Linked DNA regions of Oryzias latipes. The protein of the gene in region 2 interacts with the protein of the main gene of each other region in a biochemical or structural test. Links are inferred from orthologs where the notes say so. Each region holds a gene or a part of one and is shown on either strand. Other genes may lie near its edges. The genes, in order: tubulin beta-5 chain, sumo2 and eme1.

Region 1 (10,365 bases), on a different chromosome or scaffold from region 2:
CCTCCTCCTTCGCTTTGCTTTCCCACCAAGTCTGTGTGTTTGTGTCATAACTCATTCTGCAGAGAAGGCTCCTCTCAGCTGCTCTGCCACTAACAGCAATCGCATTTAAGGCTACAGATGTCCCTGGGAGGATTGAAAGCAGGACTCTGTGTGCACCCTTCCACCTTAACCCCTCCCCCAGATCCCTCTTAGCCGTTACCACGGTAGCAAGTCACTGTTCAGGTTCAGTCCCCACATGGTGCTTTCCTGAGCCTCGACAAACTGAAAGCTCTTGGCCAGGTTTATCTTTCCTCCTCCCCACAAACGTGCACGTTAATAACGGCTCAGAGGCTTGTGGCGTGTTGGTAATAGCTTTGTTTGTAAAAATGCCAATAAAGTTGTGCAAACACGAGGAAGGGTGTGGCGTTTGCACGGGCCCCTCACGCCTTCAGGGGTTAAAAATGCTGTGACTGTTTGGCTGAAACTGTTGATGATGAACGCTCGGGGAATATGCTCCAGTTTACACCAACCTCTTTAATAAGTTTGGCTGACACATAAACGATTGCTGGTTTTGGTAATTTTGAGCCATAGAGGCAGTAAACACATGCTGCAGAACCCACCATTAACTCTTTCATGGATTTAAAGACAATTTTAGACATTTTATAGGCCAGTTGGTGTAATCAATACTCACACATTTAAATAATTATCAAAATGAAAAAAGTCCTCAGATTTTAGGCTCACTTTTATATAGTTTTACTCCCCTGACAGTTACGGGACAGCAAGTCATCAAACTGGGTAACAGAGAGAGATGGAGGGTCAGCTGAGAAGAGAAAAAAAAGAAAACGTCATTCTGACGCAGCTCTAAAAAGCTCCCATGAACCCGGACATGGAGACATGTTTACTGTCTCTTTTGTTTGAGCACAGTTGATCATTTCTTATTCCTAATGAACTCCTGCAGCTCTGCAGAGACTATGTCCTAAAAAACTACACAGGTTTTTATGATTTTGGCTATAAAGGGCATTACCATAATTAAAAGACCACCGGAAACACCTTTACAACAGATCAAAAGATGATCAGAATGGGACGTTAAAGTACTTTATAGACAAATCCTCCATCAAAAAACAGAAAGAAGAGTGACTGCTTACTATTTAAAGTTCACCACAACCTGAAATAAATAAAAAAGAATTACATCTCATCTTTAATTTCTCTTTCATCATGATTTCTTTTCTCAGTTGTCCCCGTCTTCCAATGCCTACCCCAACTATATGAACAAATTTAGTCTTCAGACTTAACTAACATCTACAGGACTACAGGTTTCTATTGATGCAGGGGAAAAGTTCCTTTAATCCCAGTGAAGGTGAAGCATTACTGTGTTTTTGTTAGAACTATTGGGCAGAATGAAGCATTTTCTTTCAGAATAAGATCATTTAGCTTTGTTTCAACCTACTATATCAGCTCATCTTTTTTAATGACTGAAAAAAATCCCATGCAGAACCTGGAAGTCCAGACACCAAACAGATCTAGATCTGCTTAGCAGCACATCTAGACAGATGTTGAATGACTATCTCTTTGCTTCTATGAACATATTATCCATGAACCATCCATCCATTTTCCAAACTCAATCTTTTTTGGGGTTTCAGGGTTGTTGGAGCCTATCCCAGGTACCGTTGAGGGCGGGGTCACCGGTGTGTCGCAGGGCTGACCCTTTCGGAGGGGGAATGGATTGAACAGAAGTTCTTCTGGAAGCCCTCCCCCCTTTTAAGGCGCCACTGCCAGTGATCAGTTCAGTTATCCCTATTTTTCCTCATAAAACCAAACAGTAAGAGGCTCTGCTGATACATTTTTCCTGTAAAAGTCCACTTAATTGCCCACAGAGTCAAACAGCTGTACCTGCAGTGAGATCAATGATGCAGAAACACAAAGACAAGAAGATTTAAAAAAAAAAACAAAGCTTGGCTGCAAGACAGAGGAGGATCCTGCAGCCACTCTGTTCCTCTAATTGCCAATTAAAACATCTTTGCTGCTCAGTGGTCGATGGCAGAGCGGGATTTCGTAAACAGAACAGAACCACTGATCTCCCTTTCATAACTTCCTGCTTATCTGCAGCCAATTATCCGAGTCGGCTCGTTAGAGGGAGCTGCCTCTCCTGCAGTGTGTTAGAGATGCTGCAGCAGCACCTTCAGCTGTGACACAGCCGTTTAAAACAGAAGAGGGTCTGAGACTTTCATCCCTGATGTAAACTCTGTTGGACAGTCTGGACCTGAAAACAGTTAGAATGTTAAATTGTGTCGCCCCCTGGTGATTGTGGATGTACATTACAGCAAAGAGAAGTCCCTGACCTTCTGGCCTGTAAAAAGCAGGGCGACCTTTTCTTGACATTCTGTGCCTTTTAGTTGTCTTGGTTCATGTTTTGAACTCTGTTCATGTTGGTCTGTTCTCCCTCAGTCACAGCTCAGTGTGATTGTCAGCATCAGGTTCAGTGGGTAATAATGATGCTTCTAGTGACGGGCGATAACACACTTTTAGGATTTGATACACAGTATTCAATTGTAGCAATACAGATTACTGGTAGTTTCTTATTGTTAAGTTTTTTCTCATGCATATTATTTGTTATCCTAAGAACAAATACCATCAATAACTTTATTGTGAAAGGTTCAAAATTCAAGTGTTCTTTCTAAAATCGCCTGCTCATGCTGTGCTGCTCGTGGCTCGTCTGGTCCCATGACTCGTGGAGCTGTTCAATATGCTGTAGGTGGGGTGTGTTTTGGCACTAAATGCTGGAATATCTCACCTAATAACCATTGGTCATCTCAATACTTTAATATTTAAACTAAACTTGGTGACATTCGGGAATCTGTATTTTGATACCTTGGTATTGACACTCCCATCACTAATGCTTTTCCATTTAGCTGACATAATGCTCTGTGCTAATGTATGGTATTCACATTTCATACCATTACATTTCCGGAAATCTTGCAGACACACCGGCCCTCGAGGCCTGGGTTGTCTATCCCTGCACTGGCCTCTGAATCCAGAGATCCCAGTTAATCCAACCACAAGGGGGCCCAGTCCAGTTCTTTCATGCTCCAGTCCAAGCTCAGGTAAATGCAGAGTTTTGTCAGGAAGGGTATCTGACCTGAAACCAAAGTCTCATCAGTCATGTTAATCACAAACAGAACTTTCACATGGATCAGCCGTGACCTGAGTTAACAACAACTGGTGCTGTTGATCAATAGTGTTCTGGTGGAAGTTGGACTTTTGTTGGAAGGAGAAGACCAAAACGAGTTTGTAGACCGAGAGAGAAAGACAGGAGTGAAGAACTTAGAGCAGAAACTTTGGTAAGATGGGTTTTCACAGACCAGATGGAAAGAGATCAAAGTTTTTAGACTGGAAGCAGCTTCAAGATGTTTTATCATGGTGTAAATGGAAAGAGAAAAAGATCCTGAAGGAGGAGTTTGTTCTGAAGTGAAGGGAGGGTCAGATAGGTTGGGGCTGGAAGTTAAAGGTGTGATGTTAATTGTTGTCAGTGATTATGACCCCCAGATATAAAGTGAGCTATAAAGGAGATGGAGAAATTTGAAATTTTAGTCTAGTGCAGCTGGAGATTCCTTTGTAGTTTTCTCTTGACTGTCACCTTTTGTTTGCTCCGTGTGGGAAAAACAGAAAATCTTTTCCTGTAATCTGTAGGTCACTTTGCCATTACTAAAATCACCTTATTGGAAATGTCTGGACTACAATGGATCTTTACAATCAAAAGTAATTAACTGGGTTTGGTGTTGGTTGCTTTCTGTGCAACACCTTCAGATGACCTAAATTATTACCTGGAGCTTAATAAATAAGCTGACTTAGCAGACACAAGGTTAAGGCACCATGAAAACAATGAAGGAGCTTCTGATTGGCCTCTGAAGTCAAGTGAAAAATAAATATTAAATCTGACAAATCCACCAAATGCAGAGGGATTAGCTTTAATTAGACTATTAACTCTCACTTGTTCGATTGAATTGTAAAATGCCTTTTAAAAACACATGCGAAATGCATTTTCAGTAGAATTTCACTACATTGAAATTAAGGTTTTATTTATAAATGAAAAAGACCAAGTTTTCATTTTTTATATTATGAATCAGAAATTGGAAAAACTGCTCAACTAAATTGCAGATTGAATTCCTAATCAAGAATTAAGTATATCTAGAATAATTAGTATGAAGAAGATATTTTTATGGTTTGTTTTCCAGTTAAGTTTTGTCTTTTGGCTCTGCCAGCAGTCCACAAACCGAGCCCTCAGCTGGAGCTGAAGCGACTGCTGATGCGATATGAACGCTGCAGACACAAAGAGCTGATCCACTGTCTGATTTTGTCTTTGGCAGCAAGATTTGCCGCCGCTCGGCTCATAATCCCCCCCCCACAAACAGAACTGCTGTGAAATGAAGGCCGGGGATTTACGGGTTCTGATGGTGCTGCAGTAAAAATGCCTTTCAACTTAAAGCTCCACATTCAGGTTGGTATTTCCAGGAACACCAAGTTTAAACCAACGTTCAGCACAAAAGCTTCAATAGGAACTAGTTTGCAGTTAGATTTACAACAGTTTTGTTTAAACCTTTTAACCTCAAGAAAAAAAATTTTAAATTGTAAAGTTTGAAATGGCACACTGAAATAAATTTAAAAGAGGAAAAAAAGTGTCAAGGCAAAAAAAGGTCATGTAGGTTTTTTTCAAACCAAACCGCTCTTCCCTTTACAAATATCAAAACAGAATAATAAACAAAACAGTTTAAGGTTTTCAACAAAACTTTTATCGCCCAATTATTCTGCCCCTTCAGGAAACCCCGCCATAACAATTCCAGGGTTCTGAGCTCCACGTCAGTCATCACTGTTTTTCAGAAATAAAAATAAAATCAAGTGGACACTGGTTGGTTGCTCAATAATGTTGTTGGTCTTAATAGATAAGAAAATTCCATCTTTATTATATCAATTTGCTGTCCTAATGCTAAAATTTAAAACAAGACTTAAAAAAGACTTTTTTAATGATTTAGAAATGCTTTTTATTTGTCGGTTTATTTTTTGGAATCATCACGTTGGTTCTTCTGCTTTGTATGACTCAGCTCCTCAGTCCTGGATCTCCTCCTCTTCATCCTCAAAGTTCTCCTCTCCATCGCTGGCTGTGGCCTCCTGGTATTGTTGGTACTCTGAGACCAAGTCGTTCATGTTACTCTCCGCCTCGGCAAACTCCATCTCATCCATGCCCTCTCCCGTGAACCAGTGCAGGAAGGCCTTCCTCCGGAACATGGCGGAGAACTGCTCCGAGATCCTCTTGAACAGCTCCTGGATTGCTGTACTGTTGCCAATGAAGGTGGCGGCCATCTTTAGCCCCCGCGGTGCGATGTCGCACACGGCTACCTTCACGTTGTTGGGGATCCACTCCACAAAGTAGCTGCTGTTCTTGTTCTGGATGTTCAGCATCTGCTCATCCACCTCCTTCATGGACATGGGTCCACGGAAGACCGTGGCAACCGTCAGGTACCGGCCGTGGCGGGGGTCGCATGCCGCCATCATGTTCTTGGCATCAAACATCTGTTGGGTGAGCTCAGGTACTGTCAGCGCCCTGTATTGTTGGCTGCCCCTCGCCGTCAGAGGGGCAAAGCCCGGCATGAAAAAGTGCAGCCTGGGAAACGGAACCATGTTGACGGCCAGCTTGCGGAGGTCTGCGTTGAGCTGGCCGGGAAAACGCAGCGAGGTAGTCACGCCGCTCATTGTGGCTGACACCAGGTGGTTGAGATCGCCATAGGTGGGCGTGGTGAGTTTCAGGGTGCGGAAGCAGATGTCGTAAAGGGCTTCGTTGTCGATGCAGTAGGTTTCATCTGTGTTTTCTACGAGCTGGTGGACCGACAGGGTGGCGTTATAGGGCTCCACCACCGTGTCCGACACCTGATGGACAGATGAGGATGAAGAGGACATGGAGGAGAATCACAGAGTTTGGTTTCAGAGAGGGGAGGTACCTTTGGTGACGGCATCACGCTGAAGGTGTTCATAATGCGGTCGGGGTACTCCTCTCGGATCTTGCTTATAAGCAGGGTGCCCATGCCTGAACCGGTGCCCCCCCCCAGAGAGTGTGTCAGCTGGAAACCCTGCAGACAAATTACAGCTATTTATATGTGAACCTTTCAGTGATGTGGTAAAGCCATTGACTCTATTGGACTGACTGACTCGGACCAATCACTGCTTACCGGCCACATGTGGTTCCAACATGGCGATGTCTGTGTCATGAAAATCTGGTGACTGAATGACTTCATTTGGTTGGAGCTGGCAGTTAGTCAATTTCTTTAGGTGATGTCACACTCACTCGCTCCAGTTCTCATACACAGTCGATGAGTAAAATCCAAATGATCTGTTTTAATTAATTAATTTGCAAAACAAGTCAACAACCCCTGCAACCTTAGGTTGTCAACAACAGGAGAAAAACATCTCTAGCCCTTGTGCTATCCAAGGCACTTTGACATTAGGAGTGGGGTCAGCTGGACCCACTAGACAGTGCTCTGAACCTTTTTTCTTCAATGATTTGTGATCTTCACTGGTTTCCATGGATTACATGAAATGTTTCCACCTTTGTCCACCTTTGTCATGGTAGGGAAAACATGTCAATGGAAGGGTGGGGTCATTTTGACCCCACAATATAGCACAAGGGTTAAAGAAAGTAGGACATGTCCCTCAAGGCCTGAAGTTCTCCACTTCTAATTTACATATAATAATATATAATAACTTTTACAACTAAAATACAATTTTATTTTTATTACTTTTTCTTCTTTTTTTTAATGGGATCTCATCAGTTCAGATTTACCTCCTTCAATGACCAACAGATTTTACGTCTACATCTTTCCTTGAGGCCACACTGTGGGCTTGAACAACTGCACCACTGTAGGGTAACACGAGTGGGAGAGACCCTGCTGGGCCCCTTTCCCCTCAAAGCCCAGTCATTCCAGACCCAGTACTTAATCCAGTCCCCCCACCCCACCAGCTGAATGTTACCAATCACTCTACAAAAAACTCTAGAGAGAGGGTTTCACCTGCAGACATTCGCAGTGCTCACACTCCTTTCTCACAACGTCCAAGACCGAGTCCACAAGCTCCGCCCCCTCCGTGTAGTGACCCTTGGCCCAGTTGTTACCCGCACCTGTCTGACCTGCAGACAGAAAATCCATGAGGGAAATCTGAAACTTTTAGCAGAGCAGATGCCTACACTGAGTTTTCCTTAATCATCACAGCTGAGTGGGTAATCTCAACCGCCACCAGTGTGTGAATGTGTGTGTGAATGTGTCTGTGACTGTAAAGCACTTTGGGTTTGGGTACCGCGAGTGGTTCCCAGAGAAATGTTGACTCAGACCGACTTGAACCAATCACTGCTTACGGACAATGTCAGGCTCAAACGTGGCGCCTCTGTATCACTGAAAAATGTAGACTGAATTGACTTCACTTAGTTAGAGGCGGAAGTAAACCGTTTTCTATAGGTGACGTCACGCTCAGTCCAGTTCTCTTATACAGTCAATAGCCGCGGTTACATGCACAAAATATCTTGATCGGATCAATGGTCAGATTAAAATTCAACCGTGCACGTGGGATGAGAAAACCTTTTTCCGAAGCGTTCACATGGTCACACTTTCAGTCGGAATAAATCATTTGGGCATGCGGAGTAGTGTTGAAAATCTCGGAAGAGGAAAGGAGTCTTGTTTTAAACAAACCTAGCTGCCATATACATTTATGCAGCAGCTCTGTAATATACAAGACGATCTTCCAAACATGCTTTTATTAATGTAATGAATATTATGAAGCGCCTGTTCACTCATCATTTTATTTTTAATCCGTGTGGTCAGTGTTTTTTTGTGAAAGAACGGAGCTTGTAGAAGGGTTAGGATAGGTGAAGGCTAACACGCGCTAACAACATTTAGCCTTTGATGAACATAAATCCATGCGGGAAATGCCGCAATCTGCATCTTGGCTGAAACTTAATATGTGGGAATAATATCAGCTTTTATTCTGTCAGGACACGACTGGAAACACAAATCTACGTGATTGTTTGAACATTTTCTAAGGACTGAGCGACATTCTGTTTTGAAAAGCTCACACACCACCCCAAAGCTGCTGTGTGACCTGGAGACATGGTTCTGAGTCCGGCAGCCGCCAACCCAGAGCGGCGGGACGGATCGCAGTAACAAACGCACACGTAACAAAGACTCCTCCCCTCCCCTCAAACACAAGTTATACACGGCTGCTTTGCTCAGAAACACAGTTCGCTCATCCCCGGCACCCGAGCCCGGACCGCGCAGGGTCCTCGAAGCCCTCCTCCCCGGCACCCCCTTGTGAGGGGTGTAAGAGACGGGAGAGGCGAAGAACCAGCGGAGTGTGGGCGGAGTGGCGCTTTGCACCGGGCGTCCGCAGAGCAACCGGTCAGTCCTGTTTTAGCTCCAAAACTTTCTCTGGATCGAAACATCGTCTATGCATGACGTTAAACCAGAGCAGAAGTGACACACGATCAGAATGAACCGTTTACATGAACAACGATCGGATCAACAATCGGCATAACCCACCTGTCTCGACTGGAAAGAAATTTTGATCTGAACAAGTCTGATCGGGGCAGACTATTCCGAACGGTGTGTTTACATGACGCATTTTTCTTCCGATCAGGCGTCCTTTCCGATTACTTTTTTCCATGTAAATGCCGCTAATAACTGTGACAAACATTTAGAACATTAAAGGAGCACCAATTGGAATCAATTGAAAAAAAAATGTTCATAGAATTTAAATCTTCTTTCTCTTTTGGCTTTTCCCATCAGCCACAGTGAAACAACCTCTCCTTCGAGGATGAGTCGCATGGTTAACTTGGCGATGTTTTATGCCGGATGCTCTTCCTGCAGAGAAGGGAATAGGGAGCAGCCCGGTTTTGAACCCTGGTTTCACGGACGGAAGGTGCCGCAAACCAGCACGAGCTAAACTTGCTCCGTTCATGCAGTTTAAATATGAAAAGAAAAACTTTTTCCCCTGAGGAATATCCAGACATTTTGGAGAAAATGTGTTTCATCATGGAATTTTTTTGTACTATTAATGTAATCCATCTGCCTGCAGAATGAACACCACCTCTGTCAACAGTAATCTTAACACTGCCAACACTGAAGTGGGATTTAAATCAGATCCAGGACAGTGGCGTGGTGTTAACCACAGATCTGAACTGTAAATAACAGAAAATCAATTATTTTATTATATATATAAATTACATTTTAGAAGAAGATGGTCATTTTTGCTCTTTTCTGGAATAAGGTCGTTCAGGATAACCTAGTGTGATGCAGATGTGTTCATTATATTCATGTTGGCACTTTATTCAAAATAAGCATGACAATTTGACGATGAAACAATTAGCTGCCTGAGTTTATGGGTAAACTCACCTTTCTGATCTGAACCTATAGAAGACAAAGAACACAATTCAGAGCGCAGACATCCGGAGGACAGCAGCAGGTTTTTCTGCAGGTTCCAAACTAGCTGTGTTGGTTCGTTAGTCATCAGAAATTCATTCAGCTGCTGTCCTCTCTAAGGACACCTAAACCCTCCACACGAACAAAGCAAACATACCAAAGATGAAGTTGTCGGGTCTGAACAGTTGTCCGAACGCTCCAGACCGAACGCTCTCCATGGTTCCTGGTTCCAGGTCCACCAGTACTGAGCGGGGGACATATTTATGTGCTACACACACAGAAGTCAGAAAGTCAACCGCAGTCAAACACAACACTAGCAGCCCCCCCACCCCCAACGCTTACAGGAGGCCTGGTTGTAGTAGACGCTGATCCGGTCCAGCTGCAGAGCCGAGTCTCCCACATAGTTTCCAGCAGCGTCGATGCCGTGCTCGTCGCTGATCACTTCCCAGAACTACATGAGTCACGGGAATGGGGGGGGGGGGTTACTTCTGCAGCATCTGACTCAAGAGCGTTGGTGCTTCATGGTGCATTCACTGACTCTTTCCTGCCTGCTTCATTTCAAAGTATTTTAAACTATAGAGACACAACAGGATGTGTGAAGTTTGACGGTCGGAGAAGGGTGGAGCTCTGCAGGCCAAGCCAGGATCCAAAGAGCAGCTGGGACCCCCTCCTGAGCCTTCAGAGGCACAGATGCTCCTTCAGACGCAGGAGAAATCCAACCTTTCCCAGACTCAATCTAAACTTTTACCTGCTGGATTTAAACTAAGGTCTCTGTGCCATCTGGTCCCATCTTTTCAGAAGAGTCTTGAGTGAAAACAGTGTTAGTGTTTCTGAAGCATTGTGGCTGCCAACAGCAGGACCTCTGGAGGAGACGTCACCACGTTGGAGATAAAGACAAACAGCAGCTTTGAGCGCAGAAGCAACTGTGTTACCA
Region 2 (11,304 bases):
TGTTTAAAATTATCAATCGCTTATAGTCTCCATTTCAAGTAAAAGGTGAAGTAAATAGGCAGAAACAGTTACTTTAAGTCTGACATTTTTTAATTTAAATGATAGAAATAAATAAAGATTAGTCCTTTGCAGAAAAAGATAAATATTTCCGGTTAGCTAATTTTTTGCCTGACATTCCGAACCCCACGAGCTAACTGAAATAACTTAATGTTGCTAAAGGGCTCTGGAGCCTCCGAGGCCCAATGAGATTAACTTAATTAGCGAGACTGTCTGTGTGTGACAGTGCGGCTCAAACCTTCTCCACAACACAGGACCACAACCCGCTAATCAAAACTAGCACACAAAAAAGAAGGCGTTTGCTAGCTTAAAACACTTCCCCGCATCCCCGCTTCTTTTGTTCCTCCGCCAAAGGTTTCCAGCTGCTTTTACCTGGAGCTGCTCTTAGCACCGGGTTCCATTCCTGTATAGGTGGTGGTGGTCGTCATCTTTGGGGGTTTCAGACGTCCCGGCTGTAAGGAGCAGTGAAACGGATGACAAAAGGAGAAATCCTCCCTGCGCTCAGAAATGCGCCGCGCTGCGGACTCCACCCGAAACTGGAAAAGCGTTGGGAAGCCCAGATCTGCTGGTTCTGCGGTGCCAGCCCACAAGGACCAGCCCACCAGCCTATCGTCCGCTCTGATTGGACAGGACATCACAGAACTCTTTTCTGATTGGACAGAACCCAAGAGGTCGAACATCTTGCTGGTGGTAGTCCCCATGTTTATAAATGACTACAGCTTTCATCCCTGAAGATCGTTCATTTAATATTGACAGTCAAAACTAAGACCTTTCTGTCCATTTTAACCAGTAATATAAGCAAACTAGAATTAATGACAGACAAAAAGAAAAATATTGAAAAAAAAGACAATAACTTTATTTAAACAGACAATTTTCATAGACAATATGGGAGTTTGTAGAACTAAAACATCCTTTTGGTTTCCAAATTTGAAGCTTAACAAAGCACTTTTCGTTTTCTAAACATCCAATACCCTATAAAAAGTATAAAACCAAATTTTCTGTTGGTAAGAAAAAGTAAATTATAACCAAGCTCCATCCATAAACTAGGTATATGGCTCACTAAGTGAAATCAACCCAACAACTTGTATATCTTAAAAACAGATTTCTTTTTTTTCTCCTTTTTTTAATGGACCGTGAGAGTCCAACTTGCTCAAATCCAAGCCCCAGCAGACAGCATCTTTACAATAAACCTTTTAAACTGGGACAGGAGGTTATTAGTTACTAGATTACGGAATAAATGACCAGAACTGGAGGTGATCTGGATGTAGTTTATGTACACGGGCAGAGAAGTAACGGGGGCCATGATGAAAATATCATACAGCAGTTTTGTGTAGCAGAGAAATTAAACCTTCTGCGTGGAATTCTGTCGGCACAACTGAGAGTCGCAGAGAGCCAGCTGCTGGGTGGCGTGGCATGCTGGCGAAGTTGAAGAGGAGGCTGGCAGCATGTGTGGCTGATTAAATCCGGCCCCCCGTCTGCTGTTGAAACACATCAATTGTATCTTCATCTTCCATTTCCAACTGTTGATAAAAGGGGACAAAGTGTCATACATACAGACATACCTTTCAGACATTTAAATACATCTAATCTTTAAAATAAGAGGGGAAATTCTCTACAATAAAGGGGGCAAAAAAAAGCAAATGTCATCATGTTCCATTCATGTGGAATGTGACCTTGGGCTGACACTCTGCCCCCTGGGCATATCAAACCCCAAAGCTGCATCAGAAATGACAGTGCGGGATGTTTTTATGACTACAGCATGCACACAGATTTGCCTTGAACAGCAAAAATACCACTTTAACCTCAAACAACAATGGTGTGGTTACAATAATACAATCATAGAAGTTAATTCAGTGCATGTGCGTTGGCCGTCGTAACAAACTCTACAAGTGGATAAAGGTTTCCGTCAGACATCTGAATGTAGATGATAAATCCTCTCTGCCTGTGGCAGAACAAGTTTCCCATGGAAGCGCTATTATCTGGCATCAAGACATCAAGCACGGCAAGCTGCTGCTTGAGGATATGAAATACCTGCATGGCCAACAAGTTTATTCATTTACACTTCAATATTCGGAGGGTTTTCTGTTTGCTCTAAACTGCAGTGAAGTTCTAGCCCAGAAAGCAAAAAAAAAATAAATAAAAAAATGGAATAAAAACCAAAAAATAAAAGAAGTAAATGGCCTGGTTTTCGTTAGAAATCAAAGAGTTTCTTAACCAAAATGTGAGTGTTATCTTGTTCTGGTTGCATTACTAAGAGAAAAATAATAAAAGAAATAAAATGAAAATAGGTAATAACAGAATCACATCATGGGTCTTAAACAAAAGAAGCCTAAAACATATGTGCTCATTTCTACAGAGATTCATGGCTTATTGATCAAACCCAACAAAAGAACCTCATGAATGTTTTAAACCTAATACATTAATTTAGAGGCTGCATTGATTTAGTCAGACCAGCTTTGGAACAAGAACTAAAAACTAAGGAAGTCCCGATCCGATTCAGAGTCATTTGATTTTGAGTATGTACCGATACCGAGGCCTGATCCGATATTATTGTAACACATAAAAAATGATCAAATGTAATGAAGTCAGGTTATCACAGATTTTTACTTTATTCACTTTCTTTAATTATTTAACACTTAAACAATTTGCCGCTGTGAAATAACTCAAAGAATCAAGCAAAAGTCGTAAAACTTTCAACTACAAAGAACAGTTAACTATAAACTAGTAAAAAATAGGAAATAATTATTCATGGGAGAAAGTTTGGTGACTGTAGCTTTAGTATCCTCAGAATTATTGAACATTTTTGGTTCTTATGTGATTCATACTTGCATTAAAAAGTCATTAAAATTAATGATGACTGTCTTTTAAAATTGTTGTTGTAACATAAATATTTATGAATAGCTCATATCAATGTAACCATTTATCAGTTTTAGTTTTTTTTAAATGGATTTCTTTTTTTTTTTCATTTTTAAATAACTTTTTCCCAGAGCTTTCACCTTTCACTGCCGACTTTCTGTCAGCAGCACGGAGAGAGCAATTCTCATTAAAAAGTAACCAAAGCTCGATCCCTTTTCTTTTTAAACGCCTTTCTAAGTTGTTGTTTGAGTTGAGACAATGACACTCGCTGTCAGTTTAAAGTGCTCATTTAAGAATTATTGAGCCTGAAGGTCCAAATCTGTGAATATCTTGCTAACCTTCTCAAACTGTCTTTCAGCGCCTCCTAGCCTCATTGTCTGCTGCACTTTATGGCAGTAAAACGTTGGGATCCGGTCAGAATTTGAAGACATCTGGTAAAGTGTTTATCTGTAAAGTTAAGATTGAAATATATAATAATGATAAAATAAATATCCGAGTCCTGATCTGATCGCAACATCGGATTCCAATCGAGTTTGAAACTACGTGATCACATCGGGACACCCCTGCTAAAAAAGATGAAAGAAATATTGTTCAGCCAATTCATCAAGATTTGCCTAATTTATGTTGCAAGTATTTAGCATAAATAGATAGATATAGCTAGCTAGCCTACAAATCTACTCAACAAGCTATTTATCTACCTATCCATTACTTTTATCTTCATCCACCCATATAAAGGATTTTTGTTATAACACGTTTTTGGGATAAACTCCACTGGCAGCAGGTTTTGCATATCATCAGTCCTACCTGTGCAGGTGTGTCTGTCTCATTTATTGGCTGTCCGTCGAATCTGAACCTTATTTGCCTCATTGAAAGTCCCTGCAAAGACAATACTTATTAATTTGTAGCAAAAGGCCTGCTTTCCGTTAGAGTGACTGGAACACATTTCCTGTTCATATACATAAAAAAAGCAAAAATTGTGTGGTTCTATTAAAAAAAACAATACATGTAATAAATGTATTTATTCATAGTTAATATACTAATTAATATGTATAATGTCACATGTTATGTATTATTAGCACAGACGTGAGACACTGAAGGAAAGACTGTTTTCCTACAACAGGTCAGAGTTGATTCACATTACACTGACAAACACACACATGCTGTGTCATACAGAGAAAATCAAGCTGTAGATTAAACAATAATTCAGGCTTTCAACTATTAGAACCTCATTTAACTTATAGGTTACATTTTCAGTGAGTAGAGAGAATCCCAGATCCTAAAGGGATAAGATAAGGAGTTTTTTGTTATTATTTAGAAAGATGTGAAAAGATGTAAACATTTCATGGTAATCGAGTTATAATCCTGAAAAACAACAGCGTTTATGAACCCGTTCAAAAAAAACAAAGCAAAAAAAAAAAACTGCTGCGGCGTTTACAAGCCAATACAAGAGCTACGAGCAATATTTTATATTTGGGTTCAGTTAGCTCTAACTTTTTTATAACTCAATTAATAATTCAATGAAACACACACATATATAACATAGTATAAAAGAAAGTAACAAAAGTCTCACATAAGATAATAAAAATGTAGAATGCATCATCAAATTAATATTTATTATAAATAAATACCTGACCTGCTTTAAATTCACAGACTTCCTAATTTTAAAACCCATTTGTATCTAAGCGATCATAAGTTGTTGTTTTTTTTTCCACAATACTTTTGCTTATATAGGGATATAAAAACATATTCCTTGGGTAATACAAAGTTTAAATGATCTAACTACTTTTTAACGAACCTTTACTTTTTGTATAAGCGTTGTGATTATGATAGTTTTCCTGAATCGCCACCGTTTTGTGTGTTTGTTGTCTAATAGGGGATTATACTTACCTGTCTCTCACAATATGCCTTCATAAGTTTGATGAGCGGTGTGTGTCTTTTGATCTTGAACTGCACGACAGATCCATCCTGACCTGCTACCTTTAGATTTATGTGTTCGTTATTTTCAGTCTTCACTCCTTCCTACAAAAAGAAATAAATAAATAAAGAAATAAATAAATAAATATTGTAACGGTTTAAGAAACAACAAACAGGACAGGTCATTTTAGACACAAATAACAGTGGTTCCTTGCATAACAAATACCCCACACACAAAAAACTATCTGCCTTGGATGCCTGCATGCCTCGCAAAACAAATTAACATCACGTAACGAAGCCTGTTTGCAGCGAACAATTGATTTTCTGGGGGAAAAGGCCAAATCCAGACAGTTGTGTGCCGTGTCATTCAGATGAAGACTGTTACCCTTCGGTGCAAGGCTCGGTACAGTGCTTAAAAGCCGCCAATCATCCCCATCTCCTGGTTAGGTTATTGAAAACAAACAGACTGGACGCCAGTGTGATGGCAAACCTGGGCATGTTTGTTTTTTCCTCTGTTACACAATGCAGGCCAGAGCCTCTGGTTGTGATAAATGGTACAGACCGTCCTCTGGGCAGGACCACTATGGCAACAGCAGCCAGTCGCACCAAAACTACATCGCATGTGGGATCATAATCGCCCACTTACTTGTTGGTGGCAGGTTCCCATGAAAACCACAAACACGTGTAAATAAAACCATAAAGGTGGTGCAGCAGGCATTAAGAAGATAAAGCATGTTTGCCCCCATTTGGTTTGGTTTCTTCTGGTTTTTCTTTCTTGAATATTCTTTTTTTTAATACTATTTTTCTTTAAATTTGTAGAACGGATGACATGATTTTCCAAAGTCGATGTGAAATCTGGCAATGTGTGCAACATCGCCACAAAAAAGAGGAATAATGTAGGGAAATAAAATTTCCAGCTCCATCAAAAGAGCGCCGACAGGTGAGACGGACTCTCCTTGAGTGGCCTAATATTGAGTGGAGAATAGGTCTGTTCTTTAGCTTCAACAGGTTGAAGTTTCTTAGTCACCCTGGCTGGAAGAACTTAGCCAAAGTCTGTTTCTCCTCCATTTTTGAGTATGTTCCTGAAATGACCATGACCTTCAACAAATTCACTAGTCTGTAGACTTCAGTTTGGTTGGGGTGCCACTGAATGGACGTCTTGGTCCTACTTCTTAAGTGTGTTCTTGATGGTGATGGAAGGAATTGACCTTTTGCTCTTCTCATCTTCTGAGGAGAGTCATCCCCTTCTGTTTTTCCTTAATGGGTTTGTGTCCAGGAGGTCTTTTCTCCTCCTTGGTGATGCAAGTTGGGTCACTTCTTCCAGAAGAGGCCATTTTTGCTTCAGTTGAAAAGCTGATGAGGGCTGTGGCCTTCTTCCCAAACTAACACCTGAAATTCTCCTGCAAACCTCTCAGCAGCAGCTTTGTCGGTCCTAGCTACCTCTCCGTGCAAGGCCACTCAAACAGCCTTGGATTCTTCTTCTTCTGTTTTAGCTCCTTCTGCATTTGTACTTCTTTATTTCTTCATACCCTGACTTTCTCGCAGATGAGCTCTGCCTCCGTCTGCCTCTCATCTTCATCTCTGAATAGTTTTCTGACCTCGTTGCTGTTCCCCCGTGGTCATACAGTTCGGCAGGACGCACCTTGAACGTCAGGTGCAGCTCGATGGTTTCTTTCTTTGTTTCAATGCTCAGAGCTTTTCTGACCATTAACACACCTATTGATAGGAACCATTTTTCTTGGGGTTCAACATTCAAAATTTAGAGACTAAGAAAAAAAATTAAGAAGACCTGTCCTCCAATTAAGAAGACCTTTAACTTAAGGAAACACGATCCAAGACACACAACAAGTCACACCTATGTACCTGGATTTAACCATTCTGTTGTACCAGAAAAAAGTTAATTTAATTTATTTATTTACAAAAAAGGTTCGTTTTGTGAGGCAAGTGGGTTGCAATGTTTATCATGCAGATTGTTTGTTCTATAGTTCTTTATGTTTGTCAGAGTGGAAAAATAAAAAGATAAAATACCAGAATTACCAGGGATAGAAACATAATTGTAGGCCGTATGAAAAACAGATGCTAAAAAACACGTATTCATTGTTAAATATTAGTTTCAAGTATTTGAATATTTTATTTTTGGTATCCAGTTGTTATAACCCGTTTTCTTCAACGAGTCAAGCCAAAGTGTTGCAGACTGACTAGAACAGTTTAGTCTAGAGACTAAATACAAACAGTTCGTTTTCTTGTTTATTTTTTCCATTCTGGTGCGTCATTACAAAACACAGACAACTTAATTACCACACAAACACAACGCAAGAAAACCGCAAGATTTATAGAGAACGACACCAGCTGGTTGGCGGGATGTAATCAGCCTAAAAGCGACGTGCGCGCCAGTCCATGCGCGCTCACATACCTTCCGGTCCATCAAAGTAGGTACAGTTGAATCTTATCACTTAACTTTTTTATTTAAAAAAATACGAACAGCACACGCGGGAATGTAAATTCACCTTTAAGATCGGCGATCCAGTTAATTTGTAATAGCATCGTAATTGACAATGGGGTCACTTACCTTTGGTTTTTCATCAGCCATCGTCACTCTTTTGGCGCTTCTCTATGCTACCACACAAAGAATATGAGTGCGCGCACGTACTCGTTCCCGTTTAAATTATTCGGGGAAACGTGCGCGGGCATGTGTCAATGCGCGTTCACTGAACAAGGATTTAATTGGCCGCATGAAGTCACGTGGACTAAAGCGCAGTCTAGTTATGGGCGGGAGACTACCGCCTGCGCGTTACAGAGATACTCGGCTTCACATGCACGCGCACGGCAGAATTTTTCCCTTTTGTTTTTGGTTTAGGTCTATTATATACGAAGGAAATCTGTTCATCGTCACGCCGAAGACTAGTATCAGTGCTGCACGTTTCATAAAGCGCCCATATGATCGGTATTAGATGTACAGCGTGATATATTAGTACTCTCCTTATTTTAACCCCTCATTATAGCCCAGTGGCCATCTTGGTTTTTCTTTCTTTTTTTGTTACAATAAAAAACAGGCACCGACTAAACGACAACATTTACCGATATGGCGATATATTTTCTAAGATAGCTAACTTATATAACGTTTTAATGTATATTAACAATATGATACGATTGTATCTTCCTGATTCTGAGAATATGTTACACGTTTTCGGAATAAAATTACTTCGACTTTTAAATGTATATCGATTCTAAAGATAGTGTTATTTGCTTCAGTCATGTCAGTTTTCTTGACGTAGATTAAAAGTAAAAGAAAGTACTGTACTTGCAAATTTAAAAAAACAAAAAACAAAACAGGCATTAAGTAGGACAGTCCTACATTTGACGCATGCGCGAGATAGTCGTAGAAAAAGAGAGGCGCGCAAGCGTTGCTATATTATAGCACGTGTTAAATGGCATGATTAAGGTGAAAAAGTTCATAGTTTGAAATTTAAAAGGATCTAAAAAGTTTCATCCGATGGAGGAGGTAGACGTTGAACCGACGATAACCGTAAGTCTTTCGTACTATGTAGTTTATTGTTATGCGCTATCGAATAGCAGCTAACAAGTTAGCTAAGCATTTTGAATTTTGTAAATCCTAAAATTCGGAATAAAAAAATACACTAGTAGTTAATGATACAAACACAAAAGTTTATGATGAAATGTTACGGACCGACATTACGAGTTGGAGGTTTCGTAGCTAAAACAATGTCACAGTTGACATGTTCTTGGATATAAAGAAACAAACTTGGAACAATGGTTAGAAAATCAAAATGTAACGTTATTTTTGTCTTCTACGTTTTGTTAAGTTATTTTGTGCTTTGTCAAACAAAGAAAGGTAAGTCTTTTCCTGGACATTTTTGAGTCCAGTCTCTGTCTTAATGTCAAGGTAAATAAATATCCTGTTGCATGTGTCCAATGGATTAAAACTAAGAAAGGCAAAAGAAAACCATAAGAGTGTTGGTTGTAACATTGCAACTAATAGGCAATAAATCGAATGTTGTTTGAAAGCCAGGACATTTTAAAATGATTTTATTTTATTTAAGCTTTGTTTAATAGGGACAGTGCACATTAATGAACATCTACCAAACAATGATTATAGGCGTAAACATGCTGGATTATAGCAATGATGCTAATTTGCATCCCTAGTCCCTAGGCAGGAAACATAAAACAGGACAAAACAAAAGACACAGTCACAGATACAATAAGAACACAAGAAAGTGGTACATTATGAGAGTTAAAAGTCAGTGGTTACAGGACTGGTTTGCTTTCAGCCACTGCTTGAGCTGTGTTTTGAAGGTCTGTAATTATTGACACTCCCTTATGTACAATGGAAGACTGTTCAAGAGTTTACTGGCCTTTACAGAAAGAGCGTTTTGTCCAAAGGCTGTTTTTCTGTGTGGAACCTCACAGTCCCCTCGAGACGAGGCCCTAGTCCTGAGAGCGCTGTGAGACCTTATTTAAAAAAAGTCAGACATGGGAGGCGGAGCAAGTCCATGTAACACCTTGTACATCAAACAAGCGAATTTAAAATTTTTAAAATTCTCAAAGCTCAACAACTTGTACTTTTTCAAGATATTACAAACATGGAATGACATTGGTTTTCTATCTAAGACCTTAAGTGATTGTTTTATAAAGTGATTCTATGGTTTTGCTCGTATTTACACCCGGCAAGGACCAACATGTAATACAGTATTCAATATGTGATAGAATCATTGAATGCAAAAACATTCTAGCAGCTCCAAGTGAATTTTTTTAATATGGCTCTTGAAGCTCAGAGTTGAATCAAGTGTCACACCAAGATACTTAAATTTAGATAGAATTTCTAGTTCCCGTTCTTCCAAAAATATACCTGAATGCTTGATGTCCACTGGTTGCTTAGTGAACATCATACAAACAGTTTTAGTTGTATTTAACAGTAAGCAAGATTTAGAAAGCCATTCATTTACAGGAACCAGAGCTGAGGTAAGAATAGAGGCTGCTTCTTGAATATTTTTTGCGCTAGTGAATATGACAGCATCATCAGCATACATTTGAAATTCAACATTACCACATGTGTTTGGCAGATCATTAATATACATAGAAAACAATAAAGGCCCAAGTATTGATCCCTGTGGTAGACCAACAGGGACATCTAAGAGAGTTGATTTGACACTGTTAATACAATCACACTGTTTTCTGAATTCTGGATATGATTTTATCCACTGAATTGAGTCCATAGAAAAGTTAGACAAAAGAATCTCATGATTCACCGTGTCAAATGCCTTATGATTGTAAAGAACGTACTTTTGCAGGATTTTCAGTAGATATTGATTGAAAGTCTTTTTTTTAAATATAAGGAAACAAAACTTAGTTAGATTGAATCCCAAAAAGCTTTGCTACAAGATAGAAATGGTCAAATAAGCACTTTAGTGATGTTCAATAATGTTCTATTGAATGTTGCAGAGATTATTACAATTGGAAATCTGTGTTATCACTCTCAATACAGAATATTCCTGCACTCAGAAGAGGAAAGCATATGGGCTTTGCATGGGGTCAAGGTAATATCTTTGTCTATGAGACCCTCTTCAAAGCAACAGGTATGTGTTAATTTCAGTTTCAATACTTTCGCAAGTCTTCTTGCTTTGTTTCCTTTCTATTGTCTTGTGTTTCAGGTGCAACAGGATCTGGTTCCCCCTTCATCCATGAAGTCCGGAAAGATGAAGACATCTACTCTCCTATTTTGCGCAAACTCTTTAACGAGTCGCATCACATTTTTGTTGGCTTGCAAACAATCAGGGAGGATCTGCCCAGCAAGAACAAGAAACCTCAGTAAGTCTCCTGATGAGAGACCGCTCAGCTTACACAAATAATTAGTTTTTATTGACATTTTCTTTTTAATTTTTTGATCAGTGGGATGACATAAAGATTGAAAAAGAAAACAGGCAAAACATCAACATGTAACTATTTCATGTCAAACAGTGTTAAAGTAAAAAAAAAAAACAATTCCTGTTTTGCTCTATAGGTTTGTCAGCATCAGTAAAAACTATAGATCTGTTATTCGAGCCTGTATGGAGGAGCTGCAGCAAGTTGCAGGTTAGCTTCTTTAAACTGAATCATGAAGTGTATCTTCGAATCCTACAGTGTAGTTTTTTATAATGGCATGTACTTTTTTGTTTGCAGTTTCCACAAAAAACGCAGAGATGTCCGTACAGTATGGAAACCAGGCACGTGTTTTTATTCTTTAGTTTCATCTTTTCCTTTTTAGAAATTGTGATTAGTTTAATTTTTTAACTTATTAACGTATAATAGTTTTTTTCCTCTTCTTTTTAATCTTTTTACTATTCGTAATATTTTTTTGTTTCCTCGGATGTGGATTTTAGTGGTCTGTAATAAATACAATTCAAATAATTTTGTGTATAATTTGTTCTTAGGAATTAAAAAATGTGTATTTTTTTTAATGATTTTTAAATCAACCAAGCA
Region 3 (11,321 bases), on a different chromosome or scaffold from region 2:
TATTATACTGTATAACACAGAAAGACTGAACATCAACAGTTACAAATACAAATGAAATCTTCTTCTGATTTCCATTAAAAATACAACAAAACCCCCCAAATATGTACTTTCTTAAATTGTACATCTGAAAAGTTTCCAATGTAGTAAATCTATAAATTGTCTGTTTCTTTCAGCACAGCTTAAGCTCCAGTGTTTCCTTTCTTACATCACCATAACTCTTCCACCGTTTGGACAATCAACATCATTCTGAGGCGGAGAAAAGCAGCTTTCTGCTGATGTGCATCACCTTCCCTCAGTAATGAGATGATGAGCTCACATTGCTGCAGAGCCGCTTTTCTGCGTGTCAGAATCACCTGATCTACGTTCATGAACGGTGGAGGATTTACGGTACGTAAAGGAACGTGTTATTTAGGCGTCGCCGGTGACGTCTCCGATGTTAAATGGTTAAATTAGGAAAAGGTTTTCGTTTGTGTCCAAAAAATAAACAATGGATTATTAAAATATGGGGGAGGAATGGAAACACTGCTCTGCGGTAAGTATTCTGAGTTTGAGTCTACCTCCTCCACCTGCACTCTGGAAACCTGGGGCAAAGCCTCAGCCCCACCCTTCTTCCTCTTCTCTTTAGCTCCTCCTCCTGCTGATGTTTCACTCCTCACGGCCGCTTTAAACTTCTTCTGGTTCACAGATTTCTGTGATCTAGAAATAAAAGTTATTGTTTAGCTATAGTTACTGATAATAATACTAAACTTTATTTATATTGCACCTTTCAAGATGAAAATCACAAAGTGCTTCACAGTAAAACACAGAATACAAAACGTTTCATCATTTCTACCCTTATAAAAGATTAATTATTTTATTTTCCATATTTGAAAGTAAGTCAATAATACTGCAGATTGTCTAAAACCTTTGATTAAATCAAAAGAAAACTCAAAGTCCAGAGGAGAATGGCTCAGAACAGACTAGCAGGGCTACAGGAAGCAGAGTGGGGCTCCTGCAAGTACAGTGGCTCCTACAGTGGCCCCTACAGTGGCCCCTACAGGGGCCAAGAGGAGCAGAAACCAATTCAATTCAATTCCATTTCATTTGTATGGCCCAAAATCCCAACAACAGTCGTCTCAATGGGCTTTGTGCAGATAAATGTAGTAAAACATCGAATCAAAAGGATCATGAACACACACTTCAATAGAAAGATTCTAAACTGAACTAACTAAACTAAACTGGCATCTCTGCCCGGAGACCCTCCTAAAAGAAAACACGTAGAAAGCTCAGGGGGGTCCACATGAAGGAGGGATCCTCCCCCAGGACACGGCTAAAGCAAACCGCCTGTTCTAAAACAAAGGTGAACAGCAGGAGCAACAGCACTGTCATGTGTACAGCTACCTATAAATCAAAGGAATCTCCTGAACTCACTCCTGATTTGGTTGTTTTATTTAAAAAGTTCTTAGCTGGTCGATTTGGTTTTTTGGAGAAAAGCTCCAGTTTTCAGTGTATTAAAGACCCATTCCAACGAAAAGCGTGCTACTGCTGTTTTTTAACGAGTTCTTGTGCCAATTTTCTCACGATGGAGGACTTGTGTCAAATAATTGAAGATTAAAACTGCGTTTCTGAGTTTTCCTTGATCCAAATCATGGTGGATGAGGAACCCACGTCTGGAAAAAGCTCATGTTTGTTACACAGCAACTGAAATAGGCGGGCCAACGTCTCCCTGCTCCGCTCCATTCTGATGCATCCACTTGCAGACAAGGAGGGTTACTTCTGTGCCAACCGTCACGCTGACAACTCAGAGGCGAACACCTGCTGTGCTGCAGAAAAAACTCTTGAAAAACATTCTAGAAAAGGTTTAACTGACACGTAGGTGATGTCTTGAAAGTTGAGTCAAAGCATCTGCATTTAAAATCTCACCACTCATCCGAGTGGCTTCATCCGTCTGAAGGGGAAAGAAGATTGGAGTCCTCGTGCCATGACTCACCTTCAAAATATGTAACTGACGTCTTTAACACTACCGTATTTTCACGACCATAAGGCGCACTTAAAAGTCTTACATTTTCTCCAAAATGTACAGAGACCCCTATGGTTTGGTGGCCTAATGCTAAGTTGGGTAAAGAGGACGTAGGAGAGGACAGCATGAGGACGGTGAGGAGGGAAGTGAGGACGTGGAAGAAGACACCCCCCTGAATGGTACTAAAGTGCAGGTATGTGCATTATGCAGAACAACATTGTTTTGGAAACCCTAAAAATGCAAAGAGACGCTTATGAAGCACAGTTTAAACTGCAAGCTATCGAATCAAGCAGCTGAAAGAGAATTCAAGATGAATGAATCCATGGTTCACAAGCGGAGGAAGCTGGAAAACGAACTCCAACAATCGAGAAGACGCAGCTGAGTTTCCACGGAAACGGAAGACGGACTGCAGCGATGGATTAACGATCAGAGAACAGCTGGGAGGAGCGTCTCTACAGTCACCATTCGACTAAAGGCAGTAACGCTTGCAGAGGAAAGGAAGATTGAACATTTTCTAGGAGGTTTTCTGAAAAGGGGGCCATGCTTCCATCTGGGCAAGGACTATGGTGGTGCAGCAACTTCCAGGAGATCACAACGGAAAGCTGTCCATCTTCCGCTGCTACTGCAGCAAAAAGATTGCCGACAAACATCCAGCCCAGCCACATCACCAGCTGGGACGAGGCGCCGCTCACTTTTGGCATCCTGGTGAGTCACACTGTGGAGAAGAAGGGGAGCAGCACGGCAGCGATGCGCATAACGGGGCTTTTACTGTTGTGCTTGGCTGCCGTGCTGATGGACAGAAACTGCCACGGATGGGGATTTTTCAGAGGAAGAAGATGAGGACTTTGATGGATGTTTGGATGCTGATTGATGACTGAAAATAAATAAAATAAATCACAGCCAACTCAGTTTTGCTCCCGCTGCCTTTTTTTAAAACACCCACTAGCATTGGCACGTTTTACCGGTACGTGCCAACGCGCCTTAAAACCTGGTCTGTGAAATACAGAAAAAACTGCCCCCTATGGCCCTGAAATACAAAAAATGGAAACCAAAGAACAGCTTTGGCTTCATTCCCACCTGAAATACTTCTCCAGCTCAATGACTGCCAGGCTGAGGGTCTTCCTGGGCTGACGCCTCTGCTGCTGCTGCACCCAGGCCGTCAGCGTGGGACCCGAGTCAGAGCGGCCCACCTTCTGTTCCTGGTTCCAACGGGAAAAGGATTTAAAGGAACCTGCACCGCACCGTTTCTTCTTCTCACTCCGGATCAGACGTGGGGGGTTCTATCAGAACATTGTTGGTCTCAACTGATGTGAAAATCCAACCGTGAAGGTTTAGTTAGTTCTGTTTGACCCTGATGACTATCAGCAGACCTTACCTGGTAAAACTGTCATGTAGCGGTTGGATTTTCATGTCTGGAATTTTGTCCATCATTTCATCTCTGCTCAATTGTCTGTAAATACTCAGAGCATCATCTGCTCCACAGCCCAGAACACACAACTCCAACCAGAACAGTGGAAAACTTGAATTTTAGCCGCTTGTAGGAAAACCTTTGTGCTTTAGTGGTGACCAGGCTCTCCATCTGCTGCAACACACCTGGATGAAGTTGTGGATCAGAGTGATGAAGTCCTCCACCGTCATCTGCATCACCACGGGGGTCTCAGGAACACAAGCTGCGTCCCCCAGCTGGGCTCCAGAGGAGCTGGAACTCTGTTTGGGTTTTTGGTTTTATTCTGAGGCCACGTCTCACTCCGCCATCCATCGCAGGTGGCTCGAGGCGGGTCTTCTTACCTGAGCAGGTGGAGCTCTCCTCATCCAGCTAATGCTGCGTGGGAGGGGCTGCTTTTCAATGGCGCAGCTGCAGCCCAGAGCCTGCAGCGAGGCCAGCAGAGCCCCGCCTCCTTCAAGCTGCAGGAGTGCTGTGAAGGTGAGCATGAGAGAAGCTCTGCAGCTAAATCCTGTCCTGCTGCCAGCATCAAACCTCTTTCAGATGCTCCTCACCTGGATCCACGGCTACCACCATGTGTTTGATGCACTCCTCTGGCCTCAGGGCTTTGGCAGCCTCCGCCACAGCTCTCTTCTCTGCCTTCTGTTTCTCCCGTTCCTGCTTGAGTGCCTCCTTGTCCTGCCTCCTCCTTAGGGCCTCCTCCAGAGACGTCTGGATCTCCTCGGTTGGCCGCTTGGTCAGATTTCTCCAGGCAGAAGAGGTTTTACAGCTCTGAGGCTCCTCCCGTCTCACACTAGGAGGAAGCCCAGCCGCTACAACGCCGTTCTGGCAGGAGCTGGATCGACTCAACGAGAATCCACCGTCAGGCATTTTCCCGCCGGACACAGAGGAGGGATCACTGCTGGGTTTGAGTCTCTGTGCCAGAGGTGCGTAATCATCATCTGAATCGCTGCTTATCATCATGACATCTGCCGTTCCGGGAGGAACACCGGCTTTAGTCTTTGCCGCTTGTTCGGATTCTGTGGGAGAGCCCTGAATGCAGCGCTGGGTCGGCTGCAGGAAGTCGAACAGCGGAAGCTCCTCATCCAGGTCAGTGCTGCTGCAGCTGCTCATGCCTCCAAGTCCCTGAAAGACCCGATCCCGTGACAGTGAGGCGTTTAGGGTCTAGGGTCTAGGGTTCAGGGTCCAGACTTAACACCCAAGAACCTAAAACAGGTTTCAAACCAACAAGAACCTTCAGCAGACAGAAGAAACCAGAGCAGGAGTTTCAGCAGATGTGTTTTTCTTCTAATCCCTTTCAAGTCTATAAAATGTAGATAGTCAGAAGGAGAAAATCCATTTATTTTTTACGATATAAAAACCTTGATTTAAGTTTTGAAGTTCCAACATTTACCAGAAAAATATAACAATGAAAAGGTTGATCGACTAGATAAATAATATTTTTATGTCCAAATATAAACATCTTAAATAATCTTAGACGAATAAATTAAAAGCTTAAATCAAAAGTTTTTAGGAATTAAAATAACAATTGGCTCTGTCCAATTTCCCTCCATAACCCTTAACTACTAAAAAAAAACTATGTAGTGCCCTGAATTTTAAAAGCAATTCAAACACTATACTCACTGCTTTTTTTAAGGTGAATATGACGTCATCGATTTCATAAAGTTAAAATCTAATTAATTTGAGCGTTTTACGACGATTATTTATGAGTCCACTGTCTTCTAAAGATAAAAATGTGCATAATTTATTTAAAAAATAGATTTAAATACATATTTTTTGGCAAAAATTGTTCCGACGCAATGCATTGTGGTATATATTAGTCGATCTAGTGAGCATCGATGCACACTGGCGTTTCGCAGAGACTTCTGGGAAATTTCCGGAGCACTGGATTCTGGAATTGTAGATTCAGACAACACTAGAAAATAGCGAATGCTCTATAGTGCACTATTTAGAGGTCAGGGTGGGAATTCGGACACTTTTAACTGTTTTAAATATCAGAGCGTTCGGTTTTTATTATTATCATAAGTGTCACAGAGACACACACAAGCTTTTTCCACTTTGTTATTTTCGAAACCAAACGCAGCCTTTATCCCCACAGCAGACCTGCCGTCACTGGTTGGTTAGCCCACCTCAGGTTAGCTGCTCGCGGCCTCAGGTGTTAGTTGCTCGCGGCCTCAGATCCGGGTCCTGGCGGCACTAATCAGTGATTTCTCATTCCCTGCGTGGACGAACGCCTTCTGCTTGCTGTCTAAAATTGTAACCAGTACCCACCACTGCCGGCTGAACTCGCGCCTTTTACGTTTGATTTACCGGGGTGGCGTTGCGTTCAATGCCCGTGGGACTAAAACCGCTCACCTCAAACCATGCAGGGAAATTACAGTTGTGGTCTTAACACACTTGTGTTTTAGTTGTTAAACAACAGTATAGAAGACAAGGAGCTTCTGACAAGTGGAAAAATGGTAGACTGACAGATGCTTACGCGTTAAGCAAAACAGGATTTCCTAGATTATGTGAAAAAATAGAAAAACAAACGCATCCATGTACTGTTTTAGTAATTATATATTCTAAATGGTTTTACAGAAGGGTATTTAATTTTGAATATGCTGAAGAACTCTTTAACAGAGACAATTTATTTAACATGTTCTGAACTGGTGTTCTGCATCATAAATGTGTCAGGGATGAAGACTAAAAACTGAGTTACAATGTCCCAGATAAGATTTGCTGCTTTAACAAAAGACACCGATTCTTGTACTAACAAAGAACCACAGATCTCAGCAGTATCTCATTCATAGTTTATAAAACACCAAAAAACATTCACGGTTGTCTCCAGGAGCCACACAAAATGCAAGAAATTAAATAATTTAGATAGTAACAATAGTCATAAATAGAATTTATTCTAAATACACCATATTTCAATTTGGAATACTCGAATACGACAGTATATTGAATAATTCGCGAACATCAGAAAGTCCTACATTCTGAGGAACCTGAATGCAACACAGACGAGCGGATGTGACGCACTGAGGTCGACTTAAAGGAGACGTCTGTGATGATGGCGGCGTTAGCGTCCTTGAGTTTCAAGTCAAGAGCAGGTATGGCTTGACTGGGTCCTTATTTTTAAGCATATAACACGCCAGAGAGATTTTAGAGATAACTATCAGATGACTATCACGTCTGTTTGTCTTATTTTGGGGCTTGAGTTATTGTAAAACGTAATAAAGACGCGACACATGATGCTAACCTGGAAAAGAGCCGCGCGACGTTTCTCTAAGTTAGCAGTTTGTGTTAACTCTAAATATGATCAATTTATGTTCAATTTCTGAGTTGCCATTTATATTTTCATTAGAGCCCCTTTGTGACACAGAAGCCAGCTTTCGATGGTTAAGGAGGATTTTTATTAAGGTGGAATTTGGCACATTGACGATCATAATCATGACCACACGATGGAGATAAACCTGTTACAGTAAATTGAAGAGTCTTTTAATTTTGTCCAGAGAATAATAATAAAAAAAGCAAATATAATTTTCGCTTTAGCTTGAAAGTAGGAGAATTTAAACCTGACAACAAATAACATATTCACAACAAGAGACTATGGGACTGTCTTCTATATTATCTTATGATGTTGTGTTAAATAACATATCTTTCTTTTTAAAATCTATTAAGTTCCTTCTTTTAAATTGCTTTATCAGTCTTAAAATGGTCTTGCATGGACTATTGGCCCAAGTTTAAAGCAACCTTCTTCATTCATCACAGAAACTCTTGTTTTTTTCTAGCATAGTTAGATATTGTGTCATCTGTGATGTCACTTTTATCCAGCGGGACCCTTGAAGCCTAAATAATACACCTCTTCCTGTTTTAATGGTTAAAAAATTCAACTCATTTATAAAATCTTGTTTTCAATTTGGTCTTTTTCAGTGTTAAACAGATAATAACATTATTTATTGTTTTCTTATTTTTCCCACTTATGTCTCTTATTGGAACGTTTGTAGATCAATAGATATTATGTTTGGATTATCAAAATGCATAAAATACTAACTTGCAGCATACTGGGGTATCCAGTAATAACTGTAAATGTAGCTGATCTGTGGCGATGCGTTCAAACTTAACGCAAACAGAACTTTAATGTAATCCTGGAACAGTTTATGGCCTAAACTTCACAAACAGATTCTGTGTCTTGTTAAAAATGCAAACTGTATTATTAATAGTTCATAAAAATAGTTTTAAATAATGGTATGTTCGGTTGACGGCAGAATCCAGAGTTAAAAACCCCATTAATGTGAATTTCTCCTCCAGACACAGCAGAACATCAGTTCTGGAGCAGGATCAGTTCTGACTTGGTCACCATAGTTTCCATTTTTGCTGCTCTGTTCTGCTGACGGATCTGTGGTTCTGGACCTGCTTTAGGTCTCCTGATTTCTGCTCAGTCGTCTCTGTTGGACTCGGTTCGGTTCGCCTCTAAGAAGGCAGGCGGGAGCTCCAAGAACGTCGGAGGAAAAAGCCCCGGCCGCAGATACGGCTTCAAGAAACAAGACGGTAACCAAAGCCGTCCGTCTCAGACTCGTCCTCTACTGTGTTTGTGGACAAACGTGGTTCCTTTTCTTCTTCTCTGAACTCAAAGTTAAGCTTCTGTCTCGTGGTTTCGCTCAAAGGCGGTTCATTGTGGCTTAAAGTGTTCCCACATAAAGGTTTTTCTTCTCTGTTAAAATAGGATTTCAACGAGTCTTAGCCCAAAAAAGCAACAACAAAGATGGAGAACAACATTGTCTCAAAAATGGATCTGATTTTTCATACATTCAAACATGCTTTTCTGTGTCTCGTTACACGGCCAGGGCTACTGTGACATCATCTTATAGGCTACCTTGTAGTTCCTTAACAGAATTCTGATAAAATATTGTGATGAGACACAGCAACTCCATGAGATGCAGGCTCATTAAAATAACTTTTAACGTGATCCACAGTGATTTTCCCTGTTTTCCCAACAATCTATGCATCATTAACACTTATCAGCGTAGCTTCCAGGACGTCTTCCTGCCCGTAAGCGGCCTGCAGCCTCTACCGGACCACAGCAGCAGGAAAAAGTGATACAGACCTTTAAAACCGCTCAGCAACAAATAAAGTTTGAATGATTGAATACAGACCCAGCACAAGTTTCAGAGCTCCATCCGGACCAAATGAAGCTGACCGGCTCTGGAACAAGCGGTTTTCCCAGGCTGAATGCACCCTTAGTTTGGAACTGCTGTGTCATGAAAGATGATAGTGAGCCTGTTTGTACAATAAACTACATGTAAGCGGTGTGTCTGATGGTGACGGCCTGATGACTCCTGAAGGAGCTCTGACGCTTCTTCCTGTTTCCTCAGGGAACTTTGTTCATGCCGGCAACATCCTGGCGACGCAGAGGCAGCTGAGGTTTCACCCAGGAGCGCACGTAAGTTTGTGTAACCAGTACAAACGTACACAAGCACAACATGGAACAAAGATGGCTGCATCAGAAGCTCTGGAGTTTAACTCTTCAACACCAAAGCTTTAAGTCCAGTGTTGACATTTTAGAGAATTGACATCATCAGTTTTCTAATGATATCGACTCCTCTAACCATTGTGTGTCTTGTCTTTTGTGAGGTAATAACAATAACGTTCAGAGGCATAAGTCAATATTTCTTCTGGATATCATTGCTTTTGTTGAATTTTGATTTAAAACTCTCTTAGATTTGTTTCCTATAGTGCACGTAAAGGAAAATAATCCTAAATATTATTAGTCTGGTCAGTCGGTCTGTTTGTAGCTGGAGGACGTTTCCATGGAAACCCTGCATCAGTTCTGGTTCTGTCTCCTCTGTTCTGAAGGTGGGCATGGGCACCAACAACACCCTCTTTGCTCTGGAGGACGGGCACGTCAGGTTCACCAAGGAGGTGTACATCCCACCGCCGCGCAGCCCCGAGGCTTCCGCCATCATTCCAAAACTGCCCAAAGGCGCCGTGCTCTACAAAACCTTCATCAACGTGATGCCCGTCCAACAGGAGGCCAAGTTCAGGCTGGTGGATCAGGTGTGACGGGGATCAGGACTCCGGGGCTGAAATGACAGACTTTCCGATGCGAGTGGAGCAGCGGTCCAGAGGAAGCTCTGCTGTGGAGGACGTCCAGACTTGTGCTGGAGTTCACCGTGAAGCTGAAGGTCCCGTCTGTCTTCACTGAGCTCCAGGGCCCCCCCAGGTGTGGACTGAGCTGCTGCTGAGCTTTATGGTGATGATTAAAGTTTTGTATAAAAGCTTCTTGGCATGTCGGATCTGACTTCACCCATCTGTCCCACGCAGTCACGCGTGTTCTAGTTTAGTTGATAAACCCTCACCATCGTCGGTTCCTCTGAGCTGAACTTTGTGTGTTTTGTGAGAGGTGTGTGTGTGTGGGGGGGGGGGACTGATTTAAATTATCATCTGCAATTAAGACAATGTTTATCCAAAACGACTTACAAATGAAGTACATGAGCAGAAATGAAGTCTGAGGAACAAAAATGTAGGAAAAGTCTAGAGAGAAATGTCTGTTGAATGGGAATATTTGACCTTTGATCTGTTCAGTTATGCAGATGACTTTCACACTTTTCTGCCCTAAAATCATTCCCAACTTTCAGCATATTGGACTCAGATACCTTAATCAAAAGAAAACCTTCTGGATAATCTTCATTTTTCGTGATATTTTTTCTTTAGTGTAAGTAATTCAAGTTATAAATGGACCAATCAGAAACCTCAACAGGTCTCACGTGCAGTAACCAGATCTGCCAGCAGAGGTCAGACATCTGCTTCATCAGCTCGTCCTCCGTGGAGTTGATTCGGACAGTTTGGCGCTGCTGGACCATGGGGGTGGGGGGGGGTGGCTGTGAGGCAGGTTGAAGGGGACTGCAGGGCGCCACCTGCTGTTTGTGGGTGAGTACATTCTGAACAGACGCCATGTTTTTGGCGTGTTAAGGCCCGTACACACCGGGACGAATATTCGCCAGGTGTTATTCGCCAGCGTTTTTCGCCACGTTTTTTGTGTTCACACCCAGGCGATTTTCGCTGACGGTGAGCCGAGCGAACATGCAATTTCATTCCCTGACATTAGATGGCGCTTAATGTAAACAGAAATACTCCTGTACACAAGGTGGCGCTGCGCAACTTTACGCTTCTTAAAGTCGCTTTTCACTCAGAAGAAGAGAGCAAGTATTTACACGCTTGTCAGAATAATACAAAGAAAACATGAATATTTCAAGCACCAGTAGCTCCAACTGGTACTTGGTAAGGGGATATTTAAGAATGTCCGTCATTATTTCTTTGTGGCAGTGTAGACGCTACTTGGCGTCTATCTTCTTCGCTGGTATGTGTGCTCAGCAAGGCAGTTTGATGTTTGAGCGCCCCCAAGTTGTGTTTTACTGTAACTTCAGAAGCTCCAGACACGTGAGCAAAAGCGCCATTCTCATTGGTCGAGTAGATTTCGACGCAACGCGTCGAAAAAAAAAAAACGAACCCGAGGCGTTTTTTTTTTGACGCTTTGACGCATGGCGTTTTTTCGCGTCGGTGTGCACACTCTCATTGGTGCCCTTTGTTTAGTCACGAGGCGTTAAACGTCGGCGAAAATCGCCGGCGAAATTCGTCCCGGTGTGAACAGGACTTTAGGCAGGGCTTCTTCAGGGTGTCACGGTGGTCAAAGGTTAAATAATGTCCACACGGTGTTAAGAAAACAGTGCAGTGATCTGCAGTGCTCCTAGAAACCGCCGTCCTGTCTGATCTAGTGACTGCAGCTTTATTCATGAGTACATCGTGTTGGGGCAAACATTTTTAACATTGTTGAATCAAAGTATTTATCTGGGGCACTTGGAGCAGCCAGCTGCTCCAAGCTGAAACTTTAGATGG

The links.
Region 1: the proteins of sumo2 (region 2) and tubulin beta-5 chain form a complex in vitro, tested with the Homo sapiens proteins (2 studies listed by BioGRID). The link is inferred for Oryzias latipes from reciprocal best matches to the Homo sapiens genes SUMO2 and TUBB6.
Region 3: the proteins of sumo2 (region 2) and eme1 form a complex in vitro, tested with the Homo sapiens proteins (2 studies listed by BioGRID). The link is inferred for Oryzias latipes from reciprocal best matches to the Homo sapiens genes SUMO2 and EME1.

Annotation. Positions count from the first base shown.
Region 1 is NC_019878.2:4,235,181-4,245,545, forward strand, and holds the end of tubulin beta-5 chain, read right to left. Parts: intron 9,883-10,365; coding exon 9,774-9,882; intron 9,700-9,773; coding exon 9,589-9,699; intron 7,151-9,588; coding exon 7,035-7,150; intron 6,099-7,034; coding exon 5,970-6,098; intron 5,899-5,969; coding exon 5,080-5,898; 3' UTR 4,914-5,079; downstream 1-4,913. UniProt on the Homo sapiens protein: Tubulin is the major constituent of microtubules, a cylinder consisting of laterally associated linear protofilaments composed of alpha- and beta-tubulin heterodimers.
Region 2 is NC_019866.2:13,020,001-13,031,304, reverse strand, and holds sumo2 (small ubiquitin-related modifier 2), read right to left. Parts: upstream 7,436-11,304; 5' UTR 7,418-7,435; coding exon 7,397-7,417; intron 4,933-7,396; coding exon 4,801-4,932; intron 3,790-4,800; coding exon 3,718-3,789; intron 1,578-3,717; coding exon 1,515-1,577; 3' UTR 1,498-1,514; downstream 1-1,497. Other genes in the region: jpt1 (jupiter microtubule associated homolog 1), read right to left, coding at 430-758; nuclear pore complex protein Nup85, read left to right, coding at 8,321-8,353, 10,331-10,421, 10,497-10,653, 10,847-10,917, 11,005-11,048. UniProt on the Homo sapiens protein: Ubiquitin-like protein that can be covalently attached to proteins as a monomer or as a lysine-linked polymer.
Region 3 is NC_019877.2:24,361,905-24,373,225, reverse strand, and holds the start of eme1 (crossover junction endonuclease EME1), read right to left. Parts: upstream 5,809-11,321; 5' UTR 5,573-5,808; intron 4,650-5,572; exon of another isoform or gene 4,569-4,649; 5' UTR 4,557-4,568; coding exon 3,998-4,556; intron 3,916-3,997; coding exon 3,788-3,915; intron 3,707-3,787; coding exon 3,593-3,706; intron 3,199-3,592; coding exon 3,077-3,198; intron 697-3,076; coding exon 558-696; intron 1-557. Other genes in the region: mrpl27 (39S ribosomal protein L27, mitochondrial), read left to right, coding at 6,493-6,535, 7,848-7,976, 8,801-8,868, 9,282-9,488. UniProt on the Homo sapiens protein: Non-catalytic subunit of the structure-specific, heterodimeric DNA endonuclease MUS81-EME1 which is involved in the maintenance of genome stability. In the complex, EME1 is required for DNA cleavage, participating in DNA recognition and bending.